Arabidopsis thaliana: one gene and its partner. The protein of the gene in region 2 interacts with the protein of the main gene of each other region in a pairwise test. Each region holds a gene or a part of one and is shown on either strand. Other genes may lie near its edges.

Region 1 (6,119 bases), on a different chromosome or scaffold from region 2:
GTCATCTCCATAAGCGTCTTGGAAGCAGTGTCAGTGTTTTTCTCGACCAAACCCTTCACACGCCTTGTATCATCGCCAGAAACCATGACGTCGTAGTTGGCAGTGTCTGGTGAGTCCTTGAGTTCCAGTAGAGCGCTCTTTAGAGACGCCAAAATACCAACATAGGCGTCGTGGCACTCGTTGAACTGAGTCTTCAATGTTGCGTCCTTTTTGGCTGTCTCTGCTGCGAAACCAGCTGTCTTCTCGCAGTGGGATATTGCAAGGCCAACCACGGCCTCAGCCAATGGTAACTACAGATTAAAACATAAGCAATTTCAAAGTTTTAATGAACTTTTTAAACACCTATAAAAACTTCTTAAAACAAATGGTTGGTTCTTCACACTTTTTCCATTGAATTCCTTTTAAATGATGTTGCCATAGACGCTTATCGAAACAAACCATCAAAAGCTATGTAGATGTGTTTTAGTTTAGAATTATTACTGAATAACTATGTGTTTAGATGATCAGTACCAGGCCGGTGGCAGCAGCGGCAGGAGGATAGGTGGTCAAAGTTTGGATGCAGAAGGCTTTGTTTTTGACTCTTTGGCAATTGGAATCGATGTATTCCCTGTTGACCAAGGCTGAAGCTGGGGCTAAGAGAAATTGTGACAGAACTGCCAAAGTAACGACGAAGAAACAACCGGAGTAAGAAGCCATTGCGTCGCCGGAAAAATATTTTATTTCTCTTGACCTCTAAGTATGGGGAAATCGGATTTTGGTTTTAGCTTTTGTTGGTTGAGGCAATATCACTTTGGGTCATATATATACCAAAATGGCAAGTCTAATTTAAGAATGTAAAAAATTTAGTGTGTTCTCAGTTTGAACGGTCTCTATAAATAGATCATTGTCATGGTTCCTATAACTTTGGTCAGGGGACAAAAATATTCAATCTTATCGCCTTTCTTTATTTAGAAAGAAAAACAGTAAAATAAAACTGTGGTTCTGTCTATTTTAAGGCAAAAACCAGAGTAACCTAAATCATCATTAGAAATCATCATCACGGCAAAACATTCAAAAAGTTGATTACTTATAACTTAATTCGACCTCTACCCAAGCTTACACTAAACTTATTCACAAATAGTGTTCACAACTCCCAAATCAAACCAAACCCACAAAATAATGAAAAATTGAAAACAATAAAAACTTAGTAAGAAAGAAAAAGCTTCAAAATAATTACCCTACTACCATCGTTCACTCATCACCGTCCCTCCTCTGCAGCTGCATAGCTTCTACTTTCTCTTACTGAAGAACCAGCAATTACGTCCTCCTCCTGTGCATTGCTTCTTGCTCCCCAGTTTCCATGCCTGGCTTCTGATCGAATTGTTGGCGCTCTCTCATTAGACCCGATTCTCATTTGGTCAATATCGATCTTGTGATGCGCTGTATCGCTGCCCTCTTCGTCATTTAAACGCTGCTGCAGTTTCATAACATCTTCATCGATGTCTAGATCGTCTTCCACCTTCTGGCGCCGTTCCTCCCTGTTTTCTTCATCTGCTTCTTCTGGTCGTTCCCATGTGGTAGCCAATGTAATATTCCTTGGAGGTTCTTCTTTGATGAACGCTCTGAAGTCATTCCTTGAGGGTTTAACTTTTGAGCAAAATGTCTCAAAAAAATTGTTTGAACACCCACGGTTATAAACGTTGATTCTATTGTCTGATCTGTACCGGAAATTCTCATAGGTCGTCTGAAAAATTGAAATGTTGGGTATCAGATAGGACACAATTTACACAACGCATACCCTGAGCAGAACAAAACTAACCTGGTTTGTGCTAATGAGGTACAAGTGAAACCCAGTAAGCCCTCCAACAAACCACAGGGAAATAAAGCAATATATCATCAGCATAACCGCCCAGGGTGATTCTCGCATTGCCCTCCACACAGTACCTTGATGGTTATCCATCAGAACCTTGATGTATAATGCCGACATCGAAAAAATGTAGATGCAGAGAATAGTTGCCGAAGAAACAAACATAAAGAAGTACCTATAGTTTCTCTGCCCACAACACACACAAAACAAAATGTCAAGATGGAAAATTAAAGTTCACAGTTTTGTCAACAACTAGAAAAACCAGATCCTCAAAATATGAAATCCTTTTATAGAAAATCCTGCACATTTTTCTGCTTATAAGAACTTATGAACTGCATATCTTCCCAGTTTAATATGCTTTTGAATCAGCTTACCACTCCAATGCATTGGCCTACCCAAGGGCAATGATGATCAAAGCGCTCAACACAGTTGTTGCAAATGGAACAATGGGAGCATCGAGGAGGCCGATAAAGCATGCATGTATCACAATATTTAACTCTAACAGAAACGCCATAAACCATGACTTCCTTCGTCCTAGGAATTTGAACAGTGGGTGTTTGTCTTCCATCACTTGATACAGTTGTATCATAGCATAGTTCTTCCTCTGGCGGATGCGAATTTCTTGGAACGATTCCAGGATCCCGCGCAGAAGTGAGGAAGAGAAGGATCAGTACCTATTAAGTATTTACATGATTTTAAAAAAAACATAAATGAAGGAAGAATAATAAACCTGCCCAAAAAAAGCATAATCCAAAAGCCACACAAAAAGTGACAACATTCAAAATAATACTTCAAACTTTATATCTAAGCTAGAGGAAAGAACATAACAAGAAACACAGTAAGATACATGTTATTGAGGTGTGATTTCAAAATTTTGGTAAGATTTTTAACTTATTGTCGTATAATTACAAGTGAATCATACTATAATGCATGTATATAATCAACATTCAAAACTTATAAAAGAGTTGATAAGATCCTATAATATCCCATGATAAGATTATAAGGTATACAAGATACATGTGAACAAGAAATCAAATATCAAATGGGCATTGGAGAAAACTTACAAAGACAGTAAATAGAACTCCTGCCACTAAGAACACATGTCCCGCATTGTTTGGTAAGAGCTCGCGGCGAAGATGTGTTGCAACAAATACAGAAAAGAAACAAACGGGAGTTATGATGAGCAGGAAGGTAAAAGGAATAGACCAAGCATCTGGCCCAAATATCAATCTCCCACCAAACAGAAACTTCTGCAAAAGACCAACAAAAGAGAAGATGATCATCATGTTCAGAATAAATACAGCATAGAGCATTGCATCAAAAGCTACATTCACAAGTGGTAATGGGTTCCATTGAACAAAATCTGACAATAGACTGATAGAGTTCACCAAAAATGCAAGTTCATGCTTGGAGAGTGAACCAATAGTGAATAGAAAGCTCATCAATGTTGTAAATATGGTGATGCATCAGCATGGAACCAAACCAAATCTAACAAATACGGTATATATGTTCAAACTTAGATCTTCGCAATGATAACAATAAATGACACTATCAACAGTGATAGAGTTGAAAAAGATTCGAAATTTAAAGCCACCAAATTCAACATATACAGTCGAATCCAATAAAGCTCACCAATGTAATCTAATTGAATATGATGATACTAATTTCTTCACACAAAAGTACAATTTCCCTCAAAAATGTCCACATTGTTCTCATCAAAACAACAAATCCACTCAGAACATTCTTCTCTGCAATTATTTTTCTTAAAACTAGGACAGTGAAGTCATAAAAATGTCGCCTTTAAGAAAACCTAAATGTAGATTCCAGAAAAGGGAAAAGAGTAAAGCGAAATCGAGACGCCTTAAGAAAGAAAAAGAAAAGCTTACATTACTTCCCTTCCAGGCTTCGAAGACCCGTCCAGCCATTAGAATCAGCGAACGGATCAGACACTCCTCGCTACACTCTCTGACGAATTGGAGGATCCTGAAAATTTTCTACGCCGATTCATTTCACATCAGAACTCCGCCCAAAACCTAAGTGTTGTCTCTCTAGCAACAAAATTCAGGTGGGTGAGAGTAATTTCCAAAACAAAATTGTAGTTTTTGTGTGGTGCGATCTCTTCTCTTCTCTTCTCTTCTCTTCTCTTCTCTTCTCTCTCTCACAAAAGGCGTTTCGTTTCTGGATTGTGTCTCCCGAGACGAACATTACAGTTTTGTTCCTTCATTTTTTTATTACGCATATAAAATTATTTTTGTAATGTTTTAAAAACCGGACCGGTCCGGTCCTGCAGACCAAGAATCGTTCATGTGGCTGAAATTGGGATGAACCGGTATCTGGTCCGGTTTCTAAAACATTTAGCTGCAAGATTTATTCTGAATGGCTAGAGACATGTATTCAAAACTTATAAACTGGATGGGACTACAGTATATCACATGTCACTAGTTCTATGCACAAAAGTCAGGAAATGACAAGTGATAAGAGTCTTAATCATGAAACAATAGGCAAAAATTGCTACCATATTGACAAAAGACTGCCAAATATCCCACCAAATCACATGTCTGTTTGGCACGAAAACAAACATCTTTAATCATTTGTAAAAAAGTTAAATTAATTGTGTGTTTACCATTATAATTGGCCTATCATTGAAAATGGTTATTCAACTTTCCCATTTATGATTCTCTCGGCCACACGACTCACAGATGAACAATAACAACCACACCGACAAAATCTTATAGAAAAAGAAGAAGCAACTACATGATATAACAAACAGCTAAACGACTGAAATTAAAATTTCGCAATCCATCTTAATCATCAACTAATATGAAATATTCAATTTGCATTTTAATATCAATTCCTTCTCTTGCAACTCCGAAACATTATTTGGTTTATCTTCCAACTAGCAACAACCTGATCCCTTTGTAGCTTGACAAGAGTACCACGGTCCAATATGTCTACTACTTTGTTTAGAAACCAAGTCCACTTGCCAATGCTAATATGTCTTAGGTATCCTACAAACAAAGAACCTCATGCTTCTCGATTTTTCGCTTCCATCTTCAATGATTTAAGGTAATCAATGGCTCTATCGATGACTAAGATCGGGTCCACCAGTTCCTCCCCGGGGACTACACTGCGCAAGAGGCTTACAGTCTCAAATATCTTCTCTTCTCCTATCTTGTTACTAGACAGCTTAGAACGTTTCAGAAAACTAATCCTTGTGTTGTCACAACTACCACAGCTCGATTCAGCGTCCCGCATACTCTCATTCGAGGTTTCGAGTATCTTTCTCTTTTTAGCATTTAATGGTTGTCCATAGCTTCCAAGAAATGTTTTTTGGTCCTCACGGCCTGATACTACAATGCTTGGGGAATGGTCTGCGCTTGTAACCTCATCTTCTTCAGAGCAATAACCACTCTCATCTTCAGAGTAAAGCAATGCATTTAGTTCTTCCGAATCCTCCTTCAAATCCGGTTCGCTATTTCCTTGCATTCCGTGACAAACAAACAAATCTTTGTTGCTTCTTTGGAGCTCTTCCTTCATATCAGGACAGGCATGCTGTTTTAGGGTCTCAAAAGATTTCCGTATATCGGAAGCGAGTAGCAAAGTCGTCTGATCTCCAGACTGATCAAACACTAGGAACCTCTTCTGACTACATTGTTCCTCAGCTTTAGATATAACACCGTCTACTTGAAGAGGTACTTGCTTCATACATTGGTTTTGAGGAGGCAAGAACTGCTGCTGTAGGTGGGATGACCCATGAACCCATCCACAATACCCATCAAAATAGGATTGAGAGACTTGGGTAGAAACTTGATAAGATCCACGAGTAGAAAACATGTCGGTGGTGTCGCCGCAGGTTTTAGATACTAAATTCAAGTCTTGCTTCCCGAGATGAGACAGAGCTAGGGAAGACAAGGAACACAAGCGCTGAGTAGGAAACCCAAACCCACGATCTTGTCCCATCCAACACTAAACAAATCAACTATCCAAAACAGAGGACATCATCATCTCAAACAAATCAGCTACTTATAATCAAGAATGGGAGGTCAAAAGATTATGTGTGCAAAGACTGGAACTTACCAACTAAATGGATAGAAGAAACTAGGCTTGAAACAAGAACGATAAGTATCGAGCTACTCTACGTGACGGGCTTCAACAATTGACGGAAATATTCAGCCTGCAAAATACACAACATCAAAGCTAAAACGAAATCAATAAAAAAAAGTTCTGGTGGTTTAAAAATCTAAATATATTGCAATAACATAAACTCATCAAA
Region 2 (6,789 bases):
GTTACGGTTAGCAATCCAGACAGGTCTGTCCTGGCTATCAGTATTAAGATAAAGATTGTTGAACCAAATTCCAAGATACAAGTTTTCTGAATTCTTAAAGTTGAAAAACTTGAGTTTGAAGATTTTAAAAGCAGAAACGAGCTCTTGCCCATCTTTCAAGAACTGACCCTGATGTAGCGTATCTGTTTCACTGCATGATTTTCCTAACAAGAGAGATAAAGTAAGAAGAGAGACAAAGATGCCATTTGAACACATAGTTTCAGAAAGATGGATGATTTGGCAAATAGATTTCTTTCTAAAGTGGTTTTTTAAAGATATATCTTGTTTGTGATCAAAGTCATATCAGAAGTTCCAAGTCTACTACGCTGGGAGACAAAATTGAAGTCTTGGCCGTTGAAGTTTCTAAGCAACAGCTGTTATCACAACTAATTAGCAAGAAAGTGACCACAAAATTGAAGTTGACTCTTATTACCTAAAACAAGACACATACATAACAGAACCAGACGCCATGCTCTTGAGCAATTGTTTTTGTTTTTAACGAACATCTCACGCCTGTTGGGAGAATACAACACCCAATAAGGATTTAAAAGGGGGAGACTACTTACCTGAGAAATAAAAAGCCAATTGCTACCAAGAGAGGAGAAACAGAGTTATATCATTTCTTCATAAAAAGACAAAAAAGTATTTCATCATGGTTCATAAAACCCCAAATCTTATTGGTAAAGAAAAATAAATAATTTATAATCATTTTGTTGAAAGAAAAAAACCCAAAAAAAAAAAAGAAATAAGAAATCCAAAAGCTTCTTGTATTGATTGAACGGAAAATGTTGTTAGAGTACATAATAATAACCCTGTTTTACTTGGTAAGGAGACCATTTTATTGGTTTCAATGGTAGAAAAGAATACAAGAATCAGACTTAGCTTGTAACATATAACTGGTTAGAAATAAAGACTCAAGTAAGGTATATCATCCGTGGAATTGTTGACCTTCGAATCTTGGGTTACAAGCAAACGTAACAATCGTTGAAGCTATCGATGGAAGATAAAGACTTCCTCGAATCCATTCTCTAGCTTATTAGGTCTTCTCTACAATCCACAACAACTTGAGAAAGACGACTATGTATGAAGTACCTCGAAAGAAAGTGAAGGAATAATGAGAAATGAGAGAAAATTGGTAACTCAAGAGTGTGATAAACTGCTCATATTGTTTCTCTACTATGTGTGGGTTCCGTGGAGAAGGAGAAGAATATACGACATAGTTTTGATAAACCAATTTAAAAGTTTTAATGATTTTACTATTACAGTATTAGATGTTTTCGAAGCTAGAAGATTTTCTCTCTTTTTCTTTTTTTTTGGCAAGAATTTAGGTAACAAATATAACAACTCAAAAACAATATTTTTATATTTAAGTCTGATATAAAATAAATAAATGATAATAATTTTCAAATTATAAATTTAAAAATCTAATAAATTATAAATACAAAATGATAATTAAAAAGACGCTAAAAACTTCAATCCGCCTGGGTGGATGGGAAGAAGCAAATCTTTGAGTGAGTTTTTAATTCAAGAATAATTAAAATACTCCATTTGGTGATTTGGTGGACCGTTAGAAATTAAAAGCAAAATGCAAAAATATTCAAGTGGGATAACATAATTTAACTGACAATTTGTTCATGTTTCCACTAACTTTTCTGATGGAAAAAAACGCACTATTTGCAACTATAACGCACTAATCTCTTAAAAAAAAAGGTTAACCATAAACTCTAAACTCTTCCAAAAAAGCTTAAATACTCCTAACTAACCAAATTAATCTTTTAAACAAAAGTCAAAAAGTTACAAATTATATGAAAACTCACGTCAACCCCAGTTACAATATTGTCTCTGGAAAACTTCCTAAAACTAGTACATTAAATAAATATTTATAGAAAGAACCGTTCATTAGTTTTAAATTAGAATACTAATTAACATCACAGTAATGCCGTTCTTAACTTAATAATTTTTAAAACAGAACACACAGATTCTTAAGTACTTCCTCCTCCACTCGAATATCTTTTTATTCTCTCTCTCTCTCTCTCACATTTAACCCCAAAATCATGGATCGCCTTACCAAGAACAAAACCCTAATTCATCATCACTTGTCTGATTCTTCTCTATTGGTTTATCTTTTATGAACCTTCCTCCTTGGCCGGTCTCTCAATATCCCCGGTATGTAAATGTTTGACCTCTATCTTATCTCTTCTGTTCTGTTCTTTGTTTTGTCTTTGTTTGTCCATTTTTGGTTGTTACTGGTTCCACACGTGTTCTCCGCAGCTTTATTTTTAGTGCTCTCTTTTATTTTTAATGTAATTCGCAATTTTTTCTATTAATCGTAGAATTTCCCGGTTTTTGTGGATGTGTTTCAGTTCCGTTATTGCAATTTTTCCAGGATTTGCTGTTTGAATAAAAAATTCTGTTTTTTTTTTCTTTCTCTTTTCTGGGTTAAGATCTTTTTCTCATAGCAAAGGTAATTTCTGTGATTGTAGCATGATTCATTGTTTGTTTTAATAATTTCTCTGAATTCATGTATTGATTCCTTTGTTTCTGGGAGATTTTTGTAGTTTTAGAGTTGTTTTGGTGAGGTTTGATCATGGATGTGACCGAGCTTGAAGAGAATCTATTCGCGGCTAGCGATGCCAAGGTTCGGTTTTTAAATTGAAATGTTCGAATTCGGATTGTAATTGTTGGAATCTGATTAAATTTGCATCTCTGATTATTGCAAACAAATTTTCTATTAGAAATAGTAATTGGGTTATCTTAAAGGACATATTTTTTATTATCATTTGATTTCAATGTTGTTAGAGGGTTTCGTGTTTTTATGTTCTTGGTGTTTGATGATTTGATTGTCTTGTGCTTTTGCTACAGTTACATGGAGATATGTGCAAGGAACTATCTGGAGTTCTATGCAAGGTACTTTCAATCTTCCCGTCATTGGAAGGAGCAAGACCGCGTAGCAAATCAGGGATTCAAGCCTTATGCTCTTTACATATTGCACTTGAGAAGGCAAAAAATATTCTTCAGCACTGTTCTGAGTGTAGTAAACTTTACTTGGTCAGTTTTTTCTCTCTTTGGACAAGTTTTATGCTTTCTCGTTTCGTGTGTTTTGCTTCTTTAATGTTCTACATTTTCCAATGTGAACAGGCCATAACGGGGGATGCGGTTCTTTTAAAGTTTGAGAAAGCAAAAATTGCTCTCATTGATGGTCTTAAACGTGTAGAAGACATTGTTCCTAGCTCAATTGGGTCACAGGTAATTATTACTCAGTTCATTTCACATTGTGATGATTAAGATAAGTCCACTTGTTGATTGATAGTTATGATGTTTATAGTTGAGAAGTCTGTTTTTTTTTATGTATGATTTCTTCAGATTTTGGAAATTGTTGGTGAACTAGAGAACACCAGGTTCATGCTTGATCCATCGGAGAAGGAAGTCGGTGATCAGATTATTGCATTGCTTCAACAAGGGAAGAAATTTGACAACTGTAATGACAACACCGAGCTTGAAATTTTCCACCGTGCTGCTACTAGACTAAGTATCACTTCTTCTAGAGTGGCTCTGGCAGAACGAAGGGCTTTAAAGAAACTCATTGACAGGGCACGCGCCGAAGAAGACAAGCGTAAGGAATCAATTGTGGCTTATCTTCTGCATCTTATGAGAAAATGCTCCAAGCTATTCAGAAGTGAGATCTTGGATGAGAATGACTCTCCGGGTTCCTATCCATGTTCTCCTAATGAAGATCATGGGAGTGTTCATGGGTTTGGTCGTCAGCTATCAAGGTTTGGTTCTTTAAACGACAAGCCCATGAACAGCATAAATTCAGGACAGATGCCTGTTCCACCCGAAGAACTGAGATGTCCCATATCTTTGCAACTTATGTGTGATCCTGTCATTATTGCTTCAGGGCAGACTTATGAACGGGTCTGTATTGAGAAATGGTTCAGTGATGGGCATAATACTTGCCCAAAGACTCAACAACAGCTCCCACATATCTCTTTGACTCCCAATAACTGTGTTAAAGGTCTTATTGCGAGCTGGTGTGAACAGAATGGAACTCAAATTCCTAGTGGGCCGCCGGAATCTCAAGACCTCGACTACTGGAGACTAGCTCTCTCTGACTCCGAGTCCACCAAATCACAGTCAGTCAACAGTATAGGGTCGTATAAATTGAAGGGCGTAAAAATTGTTCCGTTGGAGGAGAATGGTACTACTGTTGTTGAACGACAAAACACAGAAGAAAGTTTTGTGTCTGATGATGATGATGAGGAGGATTCTGATATAAATGTACTTGAGAGGTATCAAGATTTATTGGCTGTCTTAAACGAAGAGGAGGGTTTGGAGAAAAAATGCAAGGTTGTAGAAAAAATCAGGCTATTGCTGAAGGATGATGAAGAGGCCAGGATCTTCATGGGAGCCAACGGGTTTGTTGAAGCCTTGTTGCGATTCTTAGGATCAGCTGTAGATGATAACAATGCTGCAGCTCAGGATAGTGGAGCTATGGCTCTGTTCAATTTAGCCGTCAACAACAACAGGTTAGTACCTCTTGTTGATGTTGGTAATACAATAATAGATTGTGACTTTCTCATTACTTTTTGTGTTCTCAAGGAACAAAGAGTTGATGTTAACTTCTGGGGTGATTCGGCTGCTGGAGAAAATGATTTCTTCTGCTGAGTCCCATGGTTCAGCAACCGCGCTTTATCTGAACCTTTCCTGTCTCGATGAAGCAAAGTCCGTGATAGGTTCAAGCCAAGCAGTACCTTTCCTTGTCCAACTTCTTCAGAAGGAAATCGAAACCCAATGCAAGCTCGATGCTCTTCACGCCCTCTACAACCTTTCCACATATTCCCCCAATATCCCTGCTCTCCTTTCATCTAACATCATCAAGAGCCTCCAAGGCCTTCTCGCATCAACAGGTGAAAATTTGTGGATAGAGAAGTCACTAGCCGTATTGCTAAATCTAGCTTCAAGCCAGGAGGGCAAAGATGAAGCGGTATCATCACAGGGCATGATCAGCAGTCTAGCAACAGTGCTAGACATGGGTGACACAACAGAGCAGGAGCAAGCTGTTTCATGCCTTTTGATTCTATGCAATGGAAGAGAGTCTTGTATCCAAATGGTGCTACAAGAAGGTGTGATACCATCATTAGTGTCAATCTCTGTAAACGGAACACCTCGAGGCAGAGAGAAGTCTCAGAAGCTTCTAATGCTGTTTAGGGAAGAAAGACAGCAACGGGACCAGCCATCTTCAAACAGAGATGAGCCACCCCAAAAGGAACCTGCCCGAAAATCTCTCTCAGCACCGCTGTCTGTCCATGGATCAACTCCTGCTTCAGCTTCAGTTCAAGACTATGAACCAAGAGTCCTGTCGAAATCAATGTCGAGAAGAAAGTCGATGGCAAGACCATTCAGCTTCTTCTGGAAGAAAAGCTACTCGGTTCGCGAGTGAGAAAGAAGAAAATATCACATGTACATACAAGTACAACCTTTTATATGTAAAGCTTTGTTTTTCTTTCTTACAAGTTACAAAAGTCATTTCATAGAGAAGAAGATATGTTGTACAGGTCTCATTGTGATTAGTACACTCGATTTTTGTTGTTCTTTTGGTTAGCCAAAAAAAGATGTATATCAATCAAGGTAAATACAAGTAAAACAAAACCCCAGTTTTAACATCGTATTCACTTATTGTCATTCTTCTGGTTTATTATGTTTCTATGATAAGTATCCAAAGTTTTAAAACAAATCTTAAACTTAGGTTACTTAGAATATGACATTTACAAAGTAATGAATACAAGAAGTACTTGAAAGAGACCAAAACATGTAAGCTATTGTGTCACCCCTCGGGTTCAAATCTCGAAAGAAATCAGGTCGAATAGGATTCAGAACGCGAGAAGGTGAGCGAATCCGCGCTTCTACTACTTCGTTTGATGGGATTCTGAATCCATCCGGTCTCAAAGAGTTCCAAGATCGGATCTCTGCGGCTACTGCTGCTTCGACCAGTGCTTCCACCGCCATCTTCTCCACTACTTCCTCTCTGTAATGCCTCCTTGTACGACACTTTCTTCTCCGTCCCCAAATTCCTCTTCTCTTCCTCCTCTTCTGAAACTGACCCTGATCTGCTAAAGCTCCTATCAACTGTGATCTCTTTCTCATTCGTCCCTTTGTTCTTATCTCTCCAACGTCCCAACACGTTCACCAACAAACCAAGCCTAGAAATAACATGAACCAACAACCAATCTAGCCACGCCACTCGGCTCATCAAACTCGGAAGTTTCTTGAGCACTCCATCAAGTTTCTCTGGCAGAGTCTCTACAATGATCAACAAATCAAAGATCTTAACAAACACATTGCTTGAAGAAGGGAAGTAAGTCTCGATTGCGTCTTGTAACGCGAGTATATGATCGTCAGCTACAGAGAGAACCGCGAGAAAATGACGATGAAACGGACTTGTCATCGAAACAAAGAAGATAACGAATTCAAAGAGTTTCCTCAATAGCCAAGAGGATAGATTCTTCTTCTTCTTCATCAGAGTCTGGCTTCTTGTGTAAAGAACACGAGTCATGGAGAGTATTACACCACCACAAGTCTCAAGAGGACGACGTCGCGGCCTCCTTCTCGCCGGTTGCTCCTGTCAAAATCCAAAATCACAAAAAATAACCAAACATGTCCAGATTATTTGAGGTTATCAAAGGGTAAGAACAAAGAGAATTGCATACCATTTATGAGGAATGTAGCAGATTCCAAATGTTTTATTTTCTC

Evidence for each region.
Region 1: the proteins of AT1G67530 (region 2) and AT5G50020 interact in a two-hybrid assay, tested with the Arabidopsis thaliana proteins (one large-scale study listed by BioGRID).

The regions. Positions count from the first base shown.
Region 1 is NC_003076.8:20,349,243-20,355,361, reverse strand, and holds AT5G50020 (DHHC-type zinc finger family protein), read right to left. Parts: upstream 4,203-6,119; 5' UTR 4,153-4,202; coding exon 4,121-4,152; exon of another isoform or gene 3,830-4,120; coding exon 3,733-3,829; intron 3,097-3,732; coding exon 2,911-3,096; intron 2,521-2,910; coding exon 2,221-2,520; intron 2,033-2,220; coding exon 1,799-2,032; intron 1,724-1,798; coding exon 1,238-1,723; 3' UTR 1,045-1,237; downstream 1-1,044. Other genes in the region: AT5G50030 (Plant invertase/pectin methylesterase inhibitor superfamily protein), read right to left, coding at 1-290, 511-696; AT5G50010 (transcription factor bHLH145), read right to left, coding at 4,871-5,806. UniProt on the Arabidopsis thaliana protein: Palmitoyl acyltransferase.
Region 2 is NC_003070.9:25,305,603-25,312,391, forward strand, and holds AT1G67530 (ARM repeat superfamily protein), read left to right. Parts: upstream 1-2,014; 5' UTR 2,015-2,205; intron 2,206-2,218; exon of another isoform or gene 2,219-2,503; intron 2,504-2,554; exon of another isoform or gene 2,555-2,597; 5' UTR 2,598-2,626; coding exon 2,627-2,677; intron 2,678-2,901; coding exon 2,902-3,087; intron 3,088-3,177; coding exon 3,178-3,285; intron 3,286-3,402; coding exon 3,403-4,565; coding exon of another isoform or gene 4,566-4,638; coding exon 4,639-5,479; 3' UTR 5,480-5,706; downstream 5,707-6,789. Other genes in the region: AT1G67520 (lectin protein kinase family protein), read right to left, coding at 1-203, 473-545; AT1G67540 (uncharacterized protein), read right to left, coding at 5,894-6,658, 6,747-6,749. UniProt on the Arabidopsis thaliana protein: Functions as an E3 ubiquitin ligase.